2 linked regions of the Schizosaccharomyces pombe genome follow. The protein of the gene in region 1 purifies or fractionates together with the protein of each later gene. This does not show direct contact. Each region holds a gene or a part of one and is shown in the gene's direction. Other genes may lie near its edges.

What was found. Proteins that work in one complex are often made in the same cells at the same time.
Region 2: the proteins of rng10 (region 1) and mto2 purify together in Schizosaccharomyces pombe (affinity purification with mass spectrometry, with the first as the bait; one study listed by BioGRID). This does not show direct contact.

Annotation. Positions count from the first base shown.
Region 1 is NC_003424.3:3,117,083-3,128,132, reverse strand, and holds rng10 (protein Rng10), read left to right. Parts: upstream 1-5,524; 5' UTR 5,525-5,637; coding exon 5,638-8,754; 3' UTR 8,755-8,914; downstream 8,915-11,050. Other genes in the region: rim2 (mitochondrial pyrimidine nucleotide transporter), read right to left, coding at 1-271, 320-444; structure-specific endonuclease subunit Slx4, read left to right, coding at 9,133-9,186, 9,271-10,476.
Region 2 is NC_003423.3:487,351-497,780, forward strand, and holds mto2 (gamma tubulin complex linker Mto2), read left to right. Parts: upstream 1-7,328; 5' UTR 7,329-7,391; coding exon 7,392-8,585; 3' UTR 8,586-8,661; exon of another isoform or gene 8,662-8,778; 3' UTR 8,779-9,073; downstream 9,074-10,430. Other genes in the region: protein phosphatase regulator Nem2, read left to right, coding at 880-1,422; MTREC (exosome adaptor) complex RNA-binding subunit Rmn1, read left to right, coding at 2,532-2,561, 2,600-2,637, 2,728-4,270, 4,325-4,483; idh2 (isocitrate dehydrogenase (NAD+) subunit 2), read right to left, coding at 4,812-4,918, 4,969-5,733, 5,888-5,936, 5,984-6,130, 6,234-6,305; dual-specificity MAP kinase phosphatase Pmp1, read left to right, coding at 9,463-10,299.

The DNA of each region.
Region 1 (11,050 bases):
ATTGCCATATGAAAAAAAGTTAATTGACCGTGCAGGAATTGTTCCTATTAAATTAGGACCTAAGCCACGAAATAGTGCTCTTGTTCCTTCATGAACTTTTACATTTTTTAATATTATACATGTATCCATAAAATGCCTATATGCAGCCGTCAATGGACTTTTCGATTTCGCCGTTTGCTTCAAAAATCTGTCTTTGTAAAAGTCAGACTGCAACCTCGTCTTCACTACGTCCAAAGGTGCTGTTGCAATCGCTCCTAACATTCCTGCAACTCTAAAGAATATTAGAAAGACATTTCCCGTAAATTTACAAATCACTTACCCACCCGCTATAAAATGCGACAAAGGCGGTGGAGCACGTTCGTTACTGGCATTATTTGCTTTTGTTAATAAAACTTTTGTTTTTTGTGAGTTTTCAGAGGGTTTAATCTCTGAATTTGACAGCATGTCCAAACTCCTAATTTTTGGCTCTTGGCAATGTAATGTCATTCAAACATTAAACAAATTGCTACTCTTATGAACTTGAATGTCTAGTACTTTACTAGAATCTACTTAGTACATTCTTAATAGTAACTAGTAGTATTTTAACTACTCAAATTTAAGAGGCTTATTTACTAATGTCAAGGGACCTTCACATAAACTTCCCGAACGCTATTTGAAAACTCGAGTTAAACACGGAGCAAAAATATAACTAAATCTACAATATTAAATAATGTATCTGATCTTAAATAAGAGGGTTTTAAACTTCGGTTCCGTTAGAGAATTTTAACATAATCCGATTGTGCATATCTAAATGAAAACTGATAACTATTAGCTATTTTTTATATATTTAATTAGCATATGAAATTTATAAGTTTAATTTCATTTAAGACAGTTAGTTTATCAGAGATACAACTTAGTTAAGCAATTGCAACTATTTTTTGTACTGCACTTGTCGCGAATAGTAAGCCATAGCAAATGCTTTCGTCAGTAACAGCCTAAAACAAATTCGTATTTATTTGAAGAGTATACAAAAAATATTAAACAAAATTAGCATAGTGAAATTAAGCAGCAAATGTTATAGTTACTGTCTAAAATATTCTCATAGGAACCTGTTATCTAAACTTTTAAAAAAATAAATAAATCACGATTACAAAAAAAAAAAAATTAAGTTATTAAATCATAAACTAAAACAGATATTGTTTTAAACAAAAAGTTAGAGCTGCAAAAGCTAACTTTTAAATAAAGAGTACTCGATATGAAGTTCAGCATATGTACTTCTAATCGCTTTTTTGATTGTGTTGGAATACCTGAAAATTTAAGAAAATTTAAAATGTCAAGTATTACATATTCACATTGTTCAAGAATTACTTTTTTCTTCGTAATCAAAATCCATTCCTTCTGTAATAGATTATTTTTTGACGAAGTATTTTCTTGCAAGTAATCATCATGTTGGCATTTCCAATAAAAGAAAGAAAACAGATGTCTACCAAAATCAGATATTTACCAAAAGGTTGGCTCATACAACACTATTCTAGGTGAATACTGTTGCAGAGCTTCAGGAAAATCGATGGTATAAGGACGTGACTCGATATTCTCCCACGCCTTCAAGGTGTTACAAACTTCATCATTTGTTTCTACATTTGGCTTAACCAAATGGATGCTAAATAATAAAAGATCTAACAGTTCTTGATTACGATATATACACTTGCGTATTGTCAGACTTTCTAAAGTAGCCAATTGATCAGTCAATTCGACAAACCCATGCATATGCAAAATTAAATGACAGAGGAAAGTTAGTCTGTATCAATGTTAGTGACTATTAGAATATAGAAAATGTACATACCTGGATTGACGAGTAGAATCTAAAACTTCAATATGATTGCTGAGATGACTGAAAGATTGTAAAGATTGGGTTAAAGGACAAGGCAGTTTCTCTAAAAACCACGAATCTGGTACTTGTTCCATAACATAAGCTGATGCACCAATAAGATCCTGGAGAAAGGCTGCTGGTAAATCAAGCCTTTCTTCCAAACTGAACAATAAGAGGTGCTCAAAAACTGTTTTGCAATTAGGAAGCCCTGACAAGACAAGCTTCCAAATTCCCGATTTGTAATTGTCCAAACTTTCTAAAACTTTTTTTTGAACAACGTCGTCAGTTAATTCAGATAACTCGTCATCATCCAAAGTTGTAAGCCAGGTCGCATACAGAGGAGCCGAAAATTCATCCAAAGTTACCAATGCCTTTTTCAAACATGTAACGATATCTAATTGTCGTAAATCTATCATGAAATGTTCCGTCAAGGTTCTTAAAAATCTTTGATCTGGAATGACCTCGCTAATGACATTGCAATCATGTACATGTATAAAGGACCATATAGTTTTCATTATTTGTTCATTTCGGGTACAGAGTTTTATACCCAATTTGAAAAGCTTTAACCCAGAATCATGTTTCCGAGCTTCTTTACATAAAATTGATCTCCAATGTCGTTCTTCAAGATAACCCTCAGGCCAAGTGCTTTCGTCTAGAAGGTAATTAAAAAATTGCTTCAATGTTGTATTATTATCTTGTGCTTCGTATACATCACTGACAACAGCCCATATTTGATCCACCGACAATAACTTGCATCCATAAAATTGTAGTATTTTAAAAAAAGAGAGGATAGTACATTCGTCTCGTTTCAACAAGCTTGAAAAAGTTGTAGTTGCCAAGTCATCAAAATACGGGGGATGATTTAAAGCTATCTTTAACACCATAAGCAGGTCTGATGTGAAAATAACTGCCGTGTGTTTTGATGAGACAGTTATATTGTGAAACAAAAATTCAATGAAATCTTTCCTATTCGCAACGGTAGCATCCTTGTACTCTACGAATGCATCGTCATAGTTTGATTCATACGATGTTATTTCATAAAACTGCTCAATCAGCAAATTTACATCGGGTGAGTCATAACTAAAATTCAATTCAACTTGGAACAATTTTCCCATTTCATTCAGTAGGAGTTTTTGAGATTCTGTCTTTGGCACAACAGAACATATGAAGAAAAGAGTTTGGCATCTAGTACGAAATAAGATGAAATTTTATAAAGAAAAATTAACGCACAAGACTGAAAACTGAAGTGAACCAAGTTGTCGGCAATAAGCTTAGTCATTACTTGAAACATTGAATAGTGAAATGCAAAAAGCATAACCAGGTAATCCTCATATAACTTTGACATAGGTGTCGATGCTATTTTAACAAGACTCAGGGTAATGATAGCATAATTCTCTTCTTTTTTAAACATGAAAGAGAAATGGTCTTCTTTAAATCGTTTAACGTATTCATCGCAAATTGACCAATCCACAAAGTAATTTCCTTTGGAAAGGATATAATATATTTTGTTCTTCAATTGTTGAGACATGCGAAGAATAGGCAACTGAACAAGAATCTTGCGCTGATCGTCCATGAAAGAAGAATTAAGCATCGATTCCCTCAGGTAACCTAATGAAGCAAGTCTAGCAATATACTTTGAAAAGAAGAAGTATCCACATGCTGCGAGATGATCAAGTAATTGAGCTGCCGCAACACATTCATTGTACTCCAGAGGATGCAATTTTAAAACAAACGACAATGTCAGATCCACAATTAAATTTCTGTCAAAATTGGCGTTGTCAAAAATTGAGGATACGATGAAATTTCGATCACCTGAAAAAATAGAACGGCAATTGATACACCAATGTAGTAAAAGAGGCACACCTGTATAAACTGGTAAAAGTTTAAACAAATCTTTAGCCAGTGTTCTCCAACCCACTGGAAAGGAAAGACATGAAATAATTTGCAAGAAGCGAATACTACTTGTGACAGGTTTGTACATGTACATGGCTTTTGAGTTTCTTTCCTGCATTATAGATAAAAGCGTGCTATAATTTGGAAAATCCTTCCATAATAATATAATAGTAGGTTTCAATTTGTCCCATTCAGTAGGAAAAAAGAACGACTCAATATTTTTTTGAGCCAAGGTAAATAAAAAATGAGATACTTTTTTTGAAAGCAAGCTAAACTTCAAAAGATTAGCAGGCTGGTCCACAATTAACTGTTGATAACTTTGCAGAATTGTGATAACACATTTACGACAAATATGGGTGTACTGGATCAGGCTTGTAGAAAAAAACTGTAAAGCAAAAAAGTGAAGACTAAAGGATTTTAAAGAAGAATCCCCTGAAAAGGAAACAATTCTTAATAGAAAATGTTTAGGCGAAACCAACTCTTCAGCCAGCAATCGACCAAAAAGCTTCAATAGGTAAGTGTAATCATCAGCGAACGAGTAAATATCAGCGTTTAGAAAAGACGAAATGAACGAAATTAAGAATCCCGCTGCAACATCAGTCCAATTTTTAACCCATTCTGTTATATCAGTTGTCTGGACTTTTCGTAAAAATGAACGAGCCTCATTTACTCCAGCGCATCGAATGAACCATATCGCTCGAGTAAAAGGGACTCGAAACTTCACCAACATTCGTAATATATCTTCTCCCCATAGACCATGTGGTATAGTTTTAATAAGAGAAGACAAGGGCACCATGGGATCAGATAAACCCTGCAACCAGCGGTCACGTCTAGACTCAGAAAGTGTAACTCTTGGTGGAGGACGAAACGGAGCGAATGGCTCATCAATTACTGCATCATTTTGCCGACCGAGCAAAGTAGAAGAATATCGTTTTAAATTTTCTAGAGTGCTTGATTTTTCAAGATGTTGTTGTAACAAACCCTGAGCAGATGCTCTATCACTTCGCACAGGTGGTGAATACCTGTGGCCTTTGGAAATAGCATCTCCTGCCAAAAAAGGAGCTCCGTCGACTGTCTCATCACGAAAATTTTTATCTGGAGCAGAAACTTTGCTTTGAAGTAATGTTAAGTACTCATCGTGTGAACTGGTCGAAGAATCAATATAGCAAATAGCTAAGGGCACCGCGTCATTAAAGCCTGGAGGGTTTGCTGAATCTCGATTGCTCATAAAGGATCAGAAAACACCTTTTTTGGAGCAACATATAAATATTAGTCAGATATTAAAAAAAAAAATGATTAGAGCTGGTAACAGAATGTTGTGGAAGTCCTTAAGCCAAGTTGGATTAGCAAATTAGATCCTTCTTCAAGAAACGTTTTCCAATTAAAGTTATTAAGAATCTAAGAGTAATGAAAAATTAAACAAGTTGGTTTTGAAACACAATGATTAGGTAAATTGTATTAATTGGCCTGTTGAAGTTAGCAATCATAAATTTCCACTTTTGTAAATACTAATATGTTAAATTTGAAGATTGATGTATTTGTTCATCATTCCTATTAGCTGATTAGATATTAAAAGTACTTTGATTTCTTCAACAAACGCTTCTAGGATTACGCGTAAGCCACATCAAAAACAATGAATATCTGCTACATTCTGAAAAGGTGTTTGCTTACAATTTTTGTGCTTAAAACAATAAATAACCTACAAGCTTGTGCTTGTTAACGTATGGGGCTGGCGAAGTCAATGTTATGCAGTGACTATGTGGTAGTCAGCAATCTACTACTATCCCTTCACCTCCAACTTTACGCATGAACAATAGTACATCAATAACGGTTTTATAAGTAAACAAAAAGCGAATTTTAGTCCATGACTATATATTTGAAAACTTAATAGGTCAATGGAAGAAAATACGGCTCAAAAGCAAAGTAATGCCACAGGCTTGCAACGACACGTATCAGGAAGATGGATTTCCAATGTTCCAAGTTATGAAGGTAATGAATGGAGTAGTGAAGAATCTGAGAGTGAGGATAAGGAAAGTAATCTCACCAGTAGTGAGAATATCGGAAAGAATCCCGAAAGGGAATTAAATTCTGACGGAACCGATCGCATTATAGAAGAAGAGGAGGAAGAGGATGATATTGAAAACGAGGCAAGTAGCTTTAGCGAGCAAAGTGAGAACGAGAATTATGACTTTTCATACCCTGGCACTTTTGTTTACCGAAAAGCAGCATCTAGTAGCCATGAGACGCTTGCTACTAAGGTTGTCTCCGCTGATGAAAGTGCACGGTTATGGGCCGAAAAGAGGAGATTTCTTTTACAGAAATTAGGAAAAGATCCAAATTCTAAGCCGATTGATTACAAATCTTCCATGGCATCTTCTAGCACCCGTTCATCTCAATCATCACAAGTTTCAGCCATTCAACCTCAAAGTCAAGATGATAATAGGGTCTCGGATATTCGACAAATGGAAAATCGAAGAGAGTTAAATGTAAAGAGGAGATCTGTTTCAAGTCCAGCAGAGGATCTTGCTATCCGTCCTTTAAGTTTCTCTAGGTATAAAAAGGCTGAAGAAATACCCGAGTCTTTACCTCCTATCAAGGGTAGAGATAGTTTTTCAAGTGTCAGAGAGCTCAATGAATCAAACGTATTTGCTCGTGCTCCAAATAAGAACCGATTCTCATTTGCTTCAGTTGCAGAGACTGGTAGTGGCTCCAATTTTTCCAGGGCTACCTCTTCCAGAAGTTCAAAAACTCGTAGCGTCGTATATGAACCTAATCATAGGCATACCAGCTTCTTTGGGGACACGCTTAGTAACCTATCTTCCTCGTTGAACGATAAGAAATCTCCTAATGACGATCATGCAGTACTAGATAGCGAATTAATGGAGCAAACTTTGCCGGACTCTGCCGAGGCGGTAGAAATTGCTAATAATGTGAAAGAAGATATTGTTTCTACCGCTAACGATGATGCCAATGAATTGGATAATACGAGTGAAAAAGCTACTTTGGAAACTAGTTCAAAGCCTGTTACGGAACAAGCAATTGAGCAATCTGAGGTTGTTCAAGAAGTCGAGGAGGGAGATACGAACATGACTACTAATACAATTTTGAAACCAACTGACGAAATTATTAATAAGGGTTATGCGTATTCTATAACAAGCTCACACTCGAATCATTCAAATGAGAAGTTTGAACAAATACCTAGTCCTGATGAAAAGCTTTCTCGAACAGATATTGACACTCATGTCAAGCAATTACAAACTACTAAGTCAACTGATAGCTTGTCTATTCCATTTGTTGAGTCTCCGCAGCAAAACCCAGAGGAAGAACTTTCGGACTCACTATCTAACGATTTTGGAATCGATGCTGAAAAGGAGAAGGATGAAAACCTCTCAAAACCGGAGCATCATCCATCTATAACTTCTGTAAATTCACCATTTCTTTATTCTCCTAGTAAGCAGCCCTCAGGTGAGTTGGATGAAGAAAATCTTAAACTACGATTACAAGATTCAGATGTGGATGATGAGGTAGCCACAATTCGTTCACTTAAACAAAATAATGCTACCAATTCGGAGGTTGAGACAGTTACGAACGATCCTTCTTTCTCCCAACAACCGGGTACTCATAGTCGTATTTTGCGAAATTTTGATGCTATCAGCTCTATCGATTCAATACCTGATAGCTTTTCTGACAGCGCTGTCGATTTGCCTGTCGATTCGTCAAAATATACCCTTGTTGGAAAAACTCAAAGTAATTCCAATCTACTTCAGGACAATGCTGAGAAACATATTTCAAAATCGAACCTTGAAAAAGTTGATGTGAAAGGAGATACATCACCCAATTCTGTCGAGCAAGGGATTGAACCTCAAGCTGCTTCTGTTGTTGGATCTCCACGCTCTTCTTTGGTTTCTAACAACTCCCTAGAGGAAGGAGCACTATTGAAAAACTCAGAAAGCTTGGAAAGTATCTATGGTTATCTTTCGGAGGAGCCCGATCCAGCTCTTACCAAGTTGAATACCGAAGACCCTTTTTGGACTAAGGGGTCATCTGACGATGAACATACAATAGCCTCTGTAGAACAAGACGTATATCCATATAAAACTAGTCTTCCAACTATTGTTGAAGCGACTACTTCTCACACTGAGTCAAGTAACTCAAAGGCTCCCGCAATTGAAGAAACGACAACTACAAAGGTCGAAGTGGTAGCTGCTCACGATGCAGTTTCAATATCCAGTAATTCCAGTACACATAAGTCTCACTCTGAACCATTAAATAGAGATGAGTTAGAAGTTGCTGCCTTAAGCCGTGGATCCTTGCCAGAACCTCCAAAACCCAACAAGCAAATAGTCGTTCAGGAAGAGGATCAACGAGACACACTATCTCTAAAGACAAGCACGACAGGTTTATCTTCTCATTCTAAAAGTGCTGAAAATAATTCAACTCAGCAGTCGACCACTTCTCCTAGCATTAACTCCGGTGCTTCAGCGGATGCTGTTTCTTCTGGAATTTCCAAAAAGGCTGATAATAGTGAAACTAATTTAAATTACTTTGCTACCTTAGATGCGTTTGTCAAGAGTCCATTGATGTCGTTCGATGGATTGGGTGAATTAGGTTCTACCGATCAACGTTACAACTTTTTCAATCAAAAGATTCAAGAATATTCAGCATACGATTCGGGCCTTGATAATTGGATTCAGTTTTGCTTAGAAAAAGATGGTGAGGCTCCAAAGGAAGCTCCTCCTCCTCCTCGTTCTGAGCCAGTTTCAACTACAACCAAACTTGCCAAAAGAATTACGCAGCCTTCGTTGAGTCCTGCAAGGTCAACTGTTACTATAACTCACAACATTGCTACTGAAGCAAAAAAGAAGTCTAAATCTGCTGCTAATGATATTTTACATTTGTTTAAGAAGAAAGCAAAAAGTGAACAATCAAACGCCAAGTCGTCATCTAGCTCTATCAAAGAATCCAAAAAGATGAAAACTCTTTTCGGAAAAAAATTGGGATTCAAATCATAAATCTTTTGCATACACTTTTTACCTAACTTTTTTCTCTCTTTTGTAATTTTCTAATTTATGTATTGTTTACGAAGCATTGCATTTCAATCAATAAGATTTTATCTAAATATTGTTTCATTTTCGTATTGCGCATTTTTGTGAAACCATTTAGTTATTTTTATCAGACGATGAGTTAAAATATCAAGCATATTCTGGTTTTGCTGCCACTTGTCTAAACCAAAATAAGAAACTGGACGAAAAACTTTCGACAAATTCAGGCTAGTACACAAAACAAAACAATCGAAATTAAATATTCATCATTTTTTGGGATATTCTTTCGTTTTCTTGGTGTTTTAGGATTCTGAGTACGCTGCTTTCAAGCTAAGTTTCATTAAATGGATGTCGGCTGAAGAATACATTGAGGTATCATCTTCTCCTGATATATTCACGGACGTATGAAAAAAATATGATATTCTATAGCAAATGATTAGAAATATTACATTGAACTGAAGTAAATGTATATTAACTGAGCTTTAGGATGATGACATGATAACAATAGAGCCAGAGCTAAACAAAAACCCTAAAGATTGTAATAGTAAACGAAAAAGATCTGTTACTGAATGTTGTGAAATTAGGCTGATAACTTCTAAATGTGATTTTGAGTCTACTCAACAGCTTGTGCATCACAATTGTACGGGACATAAGGTTCATGAGCACAACTTAAACGCTGTGGATGAAGAAGATTTTGATACTGAAAATCTCCCTCTTCTTTTTTCTTCCTTTAGCGACAATGAATCAGATATCTTAGAACCCGATCTTAACACTCGGGTAGCTGAAGATAATGATGTCCTTTTATCTAGATACAGCAAAATTAAAAATAGTGCTTCATGCAGAAATACTTTCGAGCACTCTGCATATCACTCAAATAGGGAAGAAATATCTTCTAGTGGTTTTTATTACCATAGGAAGCCTCAATTGTTCGAAAAATCTTTAGAGAAGTTAGGAAATAAATCAATTGAAGCCAACAGGAGTCCTCTTATAAAAGAACTTTGTGAATCGGCTAATTCTACTGAAAACGTTTGTTTTTCTGTTTCCACCGTTGATGAAATTCAGCAAAGGCATCCAAGCGCCGGTCATTCAATAGACTCAACTTGTCAGTCAAACTCGTTTCTTGAAGGCGATAGTGCTACACATAAGAAAAAAAAAACGGACAATATTAAAGAGTTTACTTCATGTGAATTTAATGACCGTAGCAGAACCCTGTTAAACTATGCCGGTTACATGGACACTAACAAAAACGCTGATAATGAAGCTAAATCATTAAAAGAAAAGTTGGAGAATTTTCCGGTTGAAAAATTACGTGCTATAGCGGAAAGTTATGGCTTCAAATCATCAGATTCGAAAGCAACTCTCATTAAGATAGTAGAATCTTGTTTGGATGCAATCGATAGCCGATCTCAGTCTAAAAAATTAGGCAAAGAAACTCCCCATGATTATTTGATAACTTCTACTAAAACAGTATTGGAGTTTGATGATATAGTGACACAGACTCATAGAGCAATTTCGCAAGTTGTTAAGCAAGCCAAAGACAATAGTGTGTGGATTAAAATTCTTACGTATTCTGCTATTGATGTGGAAGAATTTCAACTTTGGCTGAAGCGGAAAAATTTAAATGTTTCGCTAGATCTTATAAAGTCTTGGTGCGATAAGTATGGAGTACTCATGAAAGGGAGTTGGCATTAGCTAGCTAATCAGTGATTTTTGAGTGAAAATTGATGGTTTTTAAAGCAAAACAATATCATTTTTACAAAAAGATTTTGGATTTTTGAGCATCAAAATTAACAGCAAACAACCCAGCTTTAGATTTAAGTCAATTCAAGTCCTGTTTTAGATAAGAATCGTCCTTTGCAGCAGTGCTGAGGAAAAATCAAGATATCTTTTATGTGTTATAACGAGTAACATATATTATTGGAATCAAAAACTAATCATTATATCTTGCTTGGTCTTTGGAAACAGTTTGAACTGTTTGAGATAGCTTGTCTATGAACTATTTTGGAATATTCGGTATACAAATTTAGTACTATAACTTTTTTGTTAACACCACGTTTTACAAGGCAGTATACGTTGTTAACTATGAAAAAACCGTAACTCCAATTTATGTAAAATATGGCTTCTGTATTGTGATATTCAACCACTGAACTTCTTTTCATATGTCAGTCAGAATGCCAAGTAAATCCAACTGCTGCTCTTTTAGTATAAATGTACTGACTACAACAGTAAAATTGGTCTTTCATATAAATCTAGTACTGCACCTTTA
Region 2 (10,430 bases), on another chromosome or scaffold:
GGATAATCGACTTACCCCAACACTCTAGAGTGCGACATTCCTGGCTCGGCTTTTTGGAGTAGAAGATACAAACGAAAATAGAAAATTGATCTATATGTCGTTCCTAAAACTTATGCTTCAATTCTGCAAACACTACTAAGTTTTTTCAGCTTGCAACACGTTAAGCTGCGTAACTTATTTCTGCTACTATTTTACTCGGTATAGGATTGCTGATTGAGTTCTTTATTTCTTTATTTATATATGATCTTTTCGCCAACGTGTTTAAACTAGGGGAGTTTAATTGCTAAATCGGCTAAAAAACTACAATGTAAAAACTTGGCCTATATATTTTTATCCAAACATAAGATTTTTTAAATACAGAATTGATATCTGAGCAGTCATTTAGTAAAAAGATGTCAGTAAAAGCTTTCTAATCCATTGGTCGGAACTTTTTAAGACTTTGATGTTTACCAAATAATGAACACAGTTAACACTCCCTCACTATATTTTGCATCGTTATACAGTATACCAACGTTTACTATCGTTTACTATAGCACATATCGAAGTAGACAGCTGCACACTATTGATATTATAGCTATCGGCGCGTAGCTTTGACATTGACTTTTAGAATCTGCCATCCGATTGATACTTGAATCAGCAAATTAGAAGGGCTGTTCTTTTATTGTTTTAGAATCATCGGCTTGTACTATTACTAATTGAATTAGTTCTTATGTTACGCACATATCTCATTCTGTGGTCTTCATAACGACTTCTTGTAATTGGTGTTGGATATTGTCCAATTATTGTTATCTCCAAAAAGCTTTCTTATATTCTGTTTTTCAAGTTCTTTATATCTTTTTATTCTTTTTCCTACGTATTGTTAAGAGTGAATAAAATGCCATGTCCTCTTATGTGCCCAACACCCTGTCCGTATATCACAACTTGTTAATTTTAGAGGCATCGTTTCGGAAAACATACCTACAGCTTCAAGTTCGTCGTCAAAAGTATATGGCTTTCTATGTCTCACTATTGGTGTGGAACTTTTACTTTGGCTATCGCGTCTTTTATCGCATCTCAAAATACTCGTTGATTGATTTGACTTACAAACTTTGTCTTTTATGCGGAATTGTTACACTTTTGCTCTTTTATTTTTCTGGATTGTATCGGACTACAATAGTATATCCATCACGTTATGTTCAACAAGTCAACAAAGCGATGAGGTTTTTTAACATTCGCCTTGTTATAACTCCTGTCCCGTGGTTCCAGGTGAGAAAGCCTTTGGATTGTGGTGTCCATCTTATATTATCAAGCAAACGATTTGACATATTGGTGATCGAAGGTTGGGAAGCTTTTCGTTCTTCATATTTTGCTTCAATACATAGAAAAAACAATAGCATACAGAGTAACGAGTCCTCTGAATCTCCTTCTTCTAAACAGAACTAGATTTACTTATACCCTTATCCTATTTATAAAGGATGCGATCGTTTATTTCCTTTTCAACGTTGTTAATGCTTTTCATGTTTATACTGTTCTAGTATTTGTCATTTTTCATAACGTAAATTTTGATTAAAATTTTCAGCTATTTTTTTTTTTGCTATCCGTTGTTGCTGGCGCCTTTCGCTATATTATTGATCAGTTATTGTCGTTATACTTTTATTACATACTTACCCGATTTGAATTTATTAGGATACTTTTAAGGACATTTCCTTTTATGTTGGGATATGAGATTGCTTTACAGACCCACTGAAATAGGATTTATCGTTGGATAATTAAAAAAAGGATGTTGATGATTCATTACACATCTTGATCATTTACTTGCCTCATCTTAATTGGAAGGGTTTAAATAAAGGCTTAATTGAAAGTTGCTGTCACTTAACTTCCTTATCTTGTTCTGTCAACTTAAACTATTATCTTTCATTCCCGACTTATAATCTTTCTTTTCTTTCTACATCACCTTTTTTTTTAAAAAATGGGTAAAAAGCGTTTTCGCATGTACATAAGCAAAACTTCTTCTCTTCTTATGTAGAGACTTCCTTTTTTTTTAATTTTCAACTTACTCATGCGGACTATACCGGACGTTCATTAGCTCTCTTGACGAGTTAGGTTTTCAAATAATTTAATATAAATGTAATCACTCCACCGTTAAAATTAACTATTTATAAGTGGTGCTAAAATATAAAAAAGTGCATATAGCTAACACGTTTACTCACTGTTGTGCTGACAATTTAATCAATGAAATAATTGGAGACAAGTGAACTCTTTCGAAACTCTCATAATCGTCAGAGTTTGACTTAAAATACATTGTATATTAGTAGTCTAAATACGAGTAATATTATGCAAACCTTCCTATTCCTTATCTAATGTCGACTACTCAGTTAAATTTTATCCCAGCCAATTGCCCTAGCTAAGACATTTGTTATTATTTTGGTATTATGTTTATTCTTTTTGAACTTTCTGGCTAATTGTTAAAGATTTTACCTTATGTGATCTATATTTTCTTACTGGCTCAACCATGCGTAACGCTCCAACAACCAGCACTTTGCTCCATCACAATGCCGTTGTTCTTAGAAGAACATGCTGAGGTAATTTTATTTTTAAGATGCCGAATTAACGCTTTTAGTATTTGAAAAGATATTTAGAACAGGCGTTGGAGCCAATGTATGTAATTTTTTTTGAGTTGCCAATTTGCGTGATTTTTTTTTTTACACGCTAAAAAATTGTTTATCAATATGCTAACGAAATGACTAGTTCTGATGCTGATGCAAGTGTTTTATCAGATTATGCTATGGCATTGTTAAGGCACGATTCTTCTGAAGAAGAAGTTCGCCAGTTATGCTACTCACAACTAGAAGATTTTTTGCGACAGGAGACAATTCCTTTTGTTGATAAAATTTTTGATGTTTTACGTGAAAAATCTTACTTGGAGGGTGCTTCAAATATGCCGTCAACCGGTATGGTGACTGAAGAAGTTTCAAGGTATTCGCCAACTTCATCAATGATCCCTGCCACCAACAGCATGGAAACCAATTTTAATAATTCTTTACCTGCTGTAGGAAAAACAAACACTTTTCCCTCTCAGGTGCCTAATATGTTTGGACCTCCGTTGTACCATCCAGCAGCCACAGCACCTTCTGAATTCATGCCCAGTATTCCTGGGTTTGGAAACTTACCAAATCCTGCAATGCCTCCCATACCATTCTTACCATTTAATCCTGCGGCGCAGCCTCCTTTCCCTCCCCCATTTAAGATGCGAGGTAAAAGAGGATTTGGCATGCGCCATGAGCATAATAGTGAACTTCGTAGGCATTCTCCTGGTAATCGAAGATTTAATCCATACAAAGCGTATCCCCAACCCCATCTGGGACATCGCTTCTCTCGTAACGCTGGCAATGATCCAACAAGTACTGCTTTAGAAGTGCGAAACATTCCGGAAGAGCATTTTAATGAGGAGAACATTAGGTCCTTTTTTTCAAAGTTCGGTGTATTGGAGAAAGTCGAATTAAATCCGACACATCATTCTTGTGTGTTAGAATTCACTTCCCATGAGGCTGCCAACAATGCTTGGTCCTCGCCTGAGCCCATATTTAACAATCGCTTTATTAAAATATTTTGGTATAATCCGTCAAAGGGATTTCACAATCGACCAAAGAAGTTTGCATCCCATAAATCTCCCACTACTTCCGATTCGTCGAATGTAGAGAGTTCTGAAGATGTCGATCCTGCTTCTTTGTTACAAAACGAAGAGTTTCATAAACTGATTGAAGAAAGGCAAAGGCAGCACGAAGAACGTTTAAAACGCATAAATGCTAATAAAAAGGCACTAGAAGAACTTAACCAAAAAAAGCGCGAGCTTGCACAGCAACAATTAAAAGAACAAGAGTTACTGATGCAAAAAATTAAGGAAACTGACCGTTCAGGAAACAAAAGACTCATGTTGTTAGAAACTCAGCATTCTCTTTTGAAGGCTGAGGCTGATTGCTTAGGGTTACCTGTGAGCAACGTTTCTGAAAGCCCAGCGGCATCTAATGGTTCTCATCATCCTTACGCTTCAGGACTTCCCCAGCGAGGTACCAACACATTTTTCCGTGGCAGAGGTCGCGGACGAGGTGATATGTTTGCGTCAATGTCCATCGATAATCGTCCAACTAAGCTTCGTGTAATAAATGTTTCTCCTGAAAAAAATGAAGCTTTGTTGCAATACTTATTCACTGTTGGAGGATATGAGGAAATTACTGAACCTTCAACTACTGAACGTCTTATCAGTTTTCAGAATAGAAATTCCGCTGAAAAGGTATGTAGCTGATTCTTTCTCTGACAGAAAAAATTTCAAGTTAACAAATTTTAGTTTTTTGGTGGAGTTCGGAACGTTGAAAAACTTCAAGAATTGGAGTTGGCGTGGGTGCCAAAAACAGCTGTTACAACTAATACTACATCCATGGAGACTGGCGAATCTAATACAAGCGACAACATGAACATAGAGGTAGAAGAAGGAAGATGGCGCTAGTTTATTTACTTTTACAAAAGTTTTTCAGAGAATGAATTAATGGGCTGCATTGTATGCGGCTGTCATAAAATATAAGCAACTAATTGATTAATCTTATAGAGTGCAATAAGCATTTCAAAAATGGAGATTTCATATTGAAATATTTGTAACTAACATTTCGATCAATTCGGTTTTTTGATACAAAAGAGTTAATGCTTCCGAATTACAACTCAAATCGTTACACAATTCATTAAAAGTGGTAACAAAAATCGGCTAGGAGAGAAAACTCATGATAAGGAAAGAAACATAAATTCAGTGTTCATAGCAAGAAGTAAACAAAATGGGCATGTTACTTCAGTTTAGAAATAATGGCATCGGTATATTGAACATTGTTTGACTTGCCGCCCAAATCCTTGGTGCGAGCATCGGGATTGTTTGCAAGGGTATCAAAGATAGCTAATGGTAATTAGTAAACAGACAAAATCTTAATTTAGTAAAACACATACCTGATTCGATGCGTTTGGCATAATCATTTAAATTCATGTGCTTCAACATCATTACAGAAGATAACAGTAAAGCAGTAGGGTTGGCTAAACCTTTTCCAGCAATATCAGGGGCAGTACCATGAACAGCTTCAAAGATGGAAGCTTGGTTGCCAATGTTTCCGGAAGGAGTCAAACCAAGACCGCCAATTAAACCAGCGCACATATCAGAAACAATATCACCGTATAAATTGGGCATAACCATAACTGTGTTGTTATAAGGGACAGGATCGGTGACAATCTTCAAGCAGGCGTTATCCAAGATTTCCTCCCTAAGCTCGATATCAGGATATTCAGGTGCAAGCTCCTTGGCGCATTCCAAAAATAAACCGTCAGCCATGCGCATAATGGTAGCCTTGTGGACTACGGTGATGTTGTTCTTGCCAGTTTGGCGAGCATATTGGAATGCATAACGAATAACACGCTCAGATGCTGCGCGAGTAATTAATTTAATCGATTGAACAACGCCTGGTATAACTTCATGCTCGATGCCTGAGTATTCACCCTCAGTGTTCTCACGAATCAAAACGGTATTAACGTTATCATAAGGTGTTTTGTATCCCGTAATAGATACACAGGGACGAACATTGGCAAACAAGCCGAAAGTACGACGCAAAGTAAGGTTCATAGAAACATGACCCTTCCCAATTGGGGTTGCCAATGGACCTTTCAAAGCCACTTTATTTTTCCTAACAGATTCCTTAGCATCATCAGGAATAGTAGTAGTACCTAAACGAATTAGTAAACGTGATTTTCGTGCGCGATAATCTCGAGGAGACATGGAAGGACTTGACAAGCAGGAACAAGCATTGCTGACAAAAACGTATAAAAGAAAGGCCAAACTGCATACAAATCCAACCATCTTCTCTTATACTTGACATACCATTTTTCAAAATAGGATATACTTTTACACGTTCCCATTCGATAGGGACCTACAATACAAGTCGTTAATGACTAAATGACGGATGACTCGACAAACCTTTGCAGCCTTAAATATACGTTCTACAGACTGAGCAATTTCTGGACCAATGCCATCGCCAGCAATCATCGTTACTGTGTAGTTCCCGTTGGCATTCTTTACTCCTTCATATGTCCCAGCGGCAGCCTTCGTTGAAGAAAATCTCTGCTAAAAATAACTCTGTTAATATAATCGATCAAATAATCATGAAAAGACGAGTAAGGCTGCTTAAACCAGCGATTTATCGCTTAGGAGCCAATTCACAACTTACAAAAGAGTAACAGGCGCTTCTTGAAAACGTCCGTAAAGAACCTGCAGTACGTAAAGTAGAAAGCATTGACATTGTTTTTTTATAACTAATGTAGCATGTATGGAGAGTGCAAGATGTCGGACCGTGATATAAACAAAGGATTCCGAGAGTCGTCGCATCATCCTTAATTTGACTTTACCGAATTTTGTGGAGATAGAACGTGGAGTTAAGCAAGGGTAATTGAGTGGAGTTTAACCATTTAGAAAGCCCCTCGAAGCGGAATGAGGAATTGTTATTACATAGCGCTCTTTTTTACTGCATTGTCTATTATTGCGTTATATAGTTTTTAACGATAATTTCAGTAGTACATAATTATTAATGTTGTTTAAAAAACACATCTATTTGGTTCTTGAGGTATATTCAGTAACTAAAGATGTAATTGTCTAAATTGAGAGGATAATTCGACGAATTGGTTTTGCTTGAATTAAAAAAATTGTAATTTTGTAGCTTCACACTGGTGTTATTGATATCTTGACTTTTGTATTGTTCTCAACTGGAAAATTAGTGTTGTCATATACTAGGTGTGCTTTTTTAATTTTTCGGATTATGCTTTATTTTCTCAATTACTCTTCCAAATATATTCATTCATTCAACAAAAAGATGTTTTGCTATTTGTCTTAAATAGTGTAGCATTTTAGAATACGTAGTTCCTATTTCAAACTATCTCAACCATACACTCACTAAAAACAATAACGATTATTGTGTGTTAAAGGCATTTAAAGATTTTTTAGGAATAGTTAAAAAAGCATAGTGACATGTAACGAAGCGTACTGTTTGCCCGCACAGTCGAAGTTGCCGCTTAGAATTAAGCTTCGGTTAATAAAAACTAGCAAGTTATCCTAACGAACTGTGGGAAAAGCTTATTCAGGAAAACTTCGTGGATCCCGTTAAAATACGTTATGATAACTAATAGCGAACTGTCTTGTTGCTGTGTTTTGCAATATTACTTTTAAATAGTATAAGACAGTATGTTAAGTTAGGTTTTCAGAGTGCATACTCTATTCGTTAATTCGTGCTTTCAACTCTTTATCTTTCAAGAGTGCAAGAATCTCTTGCAAATTCGAGCTTGGTCTTGCAACTGTTTATTCTAATCCTCCAGCGTCTTGCTGGTGGTTTCGCATGTCTGAACATAATTACCAGTCTGATAGGGAAGTGGCAGAGGATCCTTTTCTTAATTATGAAGCCTCTGCTAATCAATTATCCTCAAATTCGCGCGAATCTACTCCAAGAGGTTCACCATGGCGCGCTGGTATGAGATCCGCATCTTTAATGACAGAACCTTTAGAAGATTCCATGTATAGCGATAATAATTATTTAGACAATGGGGTCTCTTTTACAAAAGATGAAAATCCTCTTTACTCGCCGTCTTGGCCGAGTTTGGCGGATGCAAACGTGAATTCAATGAAGTCTAATAATGCTATACAGGAGCATAAAGCAGCGAAATTTGTTTCTGAAAAGTCTTTGGAAAAAGTATCGACTGCAGATAATAACCTTGTGCTTCAGGAGCTTGAAAATCTCCGAGAACGCTTAAATCAAGTAGAGCTTCAACTCAGTGAGCGACCCTCTTCCTACTTAGGCTATCATAACAATCTTAGTCCATATCGTTCTCCTAACAGTTACCCTTCTCTTTTACCCTCTACTCATTCACCTCACTCACCGGCGCCGCTAAGCACGATGCAAACGGCTCTTATGCGGCTTCGCACTTATCATCCTTCGCCCATCATTTTAAAGCCCGTAGAGCAAGCTGTAAACCATGCAATCACCTTGGTAAACACCTCTCCATCGAGTGTGGTGGATGCGTTATGCCGAAGCCTTGCCGAATTGTGTCTTGGCTTGGTGCAAGAAGCGATCGATGCATCTATTTTGAGTCAACAGGAAAGCTCAAACTCTTTAGATCTTGTCCGTCATACACCACCATTGAATTATACCAGTTCTGTTGATTCTTCACCACAACGTATGGCCTCTGATAGTTATGGTAGGCCTTCTCTGCATTTAAATGACCCCTTTCCATCAGTTGATCTTCAATCAAATGAACTTTCTCATCATAATGTTAGAACAACTCTCTTTTCTGATGATTCCCGATTTCATTCAAAAATTCATACACATTCTACTCCTCCTTCTCAAATGTATAGTGCTGCATCTCATTTCCGGTACCGTAGCGATCCATCAACCCGTCATGTCTCGAATTCTACAAACAAATCGAGCTTGCATCCATCACCAACGTCTTTGCGAGTTGCTCATCCTATTATCCCCCAGAGGGCGTCTCCAGCATCACAGTCTTTTCCTTCTCTTCAAGACACTCCTTCCCCCTAGTTCGGCCTATTACAAGTTTAATTTTGAATCAATTTTTCTTTGTGTTTATCAAGTAAATCAGGTTCTTCTCATACATGTAAGTTCATACAAACATTGATTGAGGAGTGCTATCATTTAATTTGTCGTCCCTCTCGTACAAGTTTTTATTTTTTTTATATCGCTCATTTCTTTAAGAAGTTGCTAATCCTACTAGGACGTCTATTTTAATGTTATTGGATCTGGCTGCATCTCTATTTGCTGCATTGCTTGCTCAAACTTTATAGTATGAGAACGTCTTAAAATTTGAGGTTTTGTTCATCTTCTCATCAATGCTATTTTTTTAAAATTGATAATTCAGTGCAGATCTTTTCATTATTTAACCATATACGATAATTTAGATTTGGGAAGTGGATGTCTTCTTCGCAAGACGAAATGGTACATTGTGTTTAATTAGCTTTATTTCGCACCTGATTTATAAAATGAATCAGATAATTTAACTCGTTACTGTATTTACTTTTAGTATCTTTCTATATTCAAGTTTACCAACTTGTTAAAATGCGTTACCTCTGTCACCTGTAGAAAAGCATCAAATGCTGTAGCTTGGTAGGAGCTCACAATACTTCCATACATCTTTTCAGTCTATCATCAATTATTAGAACACTGAAAATTTGTATTCTCCAGTTATCTTCTTGCAAGTTAAATATTATAGAGGAAGCTAAGTTGAAATGGTTATTGGTGCCATGAATGTTTGAAGGTAACTCACAAAATGAATTCTGAATCAGCGAAAGAAAATGCAGAAGAGCAAATTGAAACGAAAGGACGTGCATTGAAGTCCTCAACAAATATAGAACGAAAAGAGTCTTCCTTACAACCGCTTCGATCAAAACTTCCTTTGAGAATGTCTCAAAAACTACCTCCCTTAAAAATTTACACCTCCCAACTTCCCCTGGTTTCCCACAAAAATATGTTGGAAAACGAAGAGGAAGCTAGTCATTCACAATTGTTTACTCCGTGTCCTGTCCCTCCATCTTTCCCGAAAGCATCTAAACCCAATTCTAATCAGCCGTACCCCAATGGCCCTGTTTGTATCTATCCCCCAAATATTTACTTATATGCCAAACCTACTATGCCCATTATTCAATCTTTTGATGTTGTTATAAACGTGGCGAAGGAAGTTTTGCATCCATTTCGCACTGATGGCCGTCATTATAGAGATTCTAAACATAACCTGGACATTCAAGTATTTGATCACATCGAATATGTTCACATTCATTGGGATCATGATACACAGTTTGCTTTGGAACTTGATAAGCTTGTTTCTTTTGTAGCTTACAATGCCATGCAACTTAACAAAAAGGTTTTAATTAATTGTCAAATGGGCATTTCTCGCTCTGCTTGTTTGATGATCGCGTTTATAATGAAGACATTAAACCTAAATGTTTCTGATGCTTATGAGTACGTTAAAGAACGATCTCCATGGATAGGTCCCAACATGTCTTTGATTTTTCAGCTTTCAGAATATCAACAAATTATTCGTAAAAATTCTAGTCAAGGTCCCTATCAATCGTCATCCTTGAAACAATCCAAAAGGAAATCTGAAGGTAATTTGCTTTTCCCTGAAAAGCCTCATAGTGCACAACTGCCTCTTGTTAGCCCGTCCACGTCTGAGTCAAGTATGTTCACAAATCTTCGAAGAACTCGAAGTAGCGGCAGTATAAGTAATGATGCTTCTTGACAATGCCAATTATTTATAAATACATAAAAAAAGGGAAATTTTGTCTATTCAAGTTCCGTTGTAAGTTGGTTTTTATACTCTTCCTTATGGGTCTTAATTCTAAGCTTATCAGCTGCTTTTAAAAAATATCC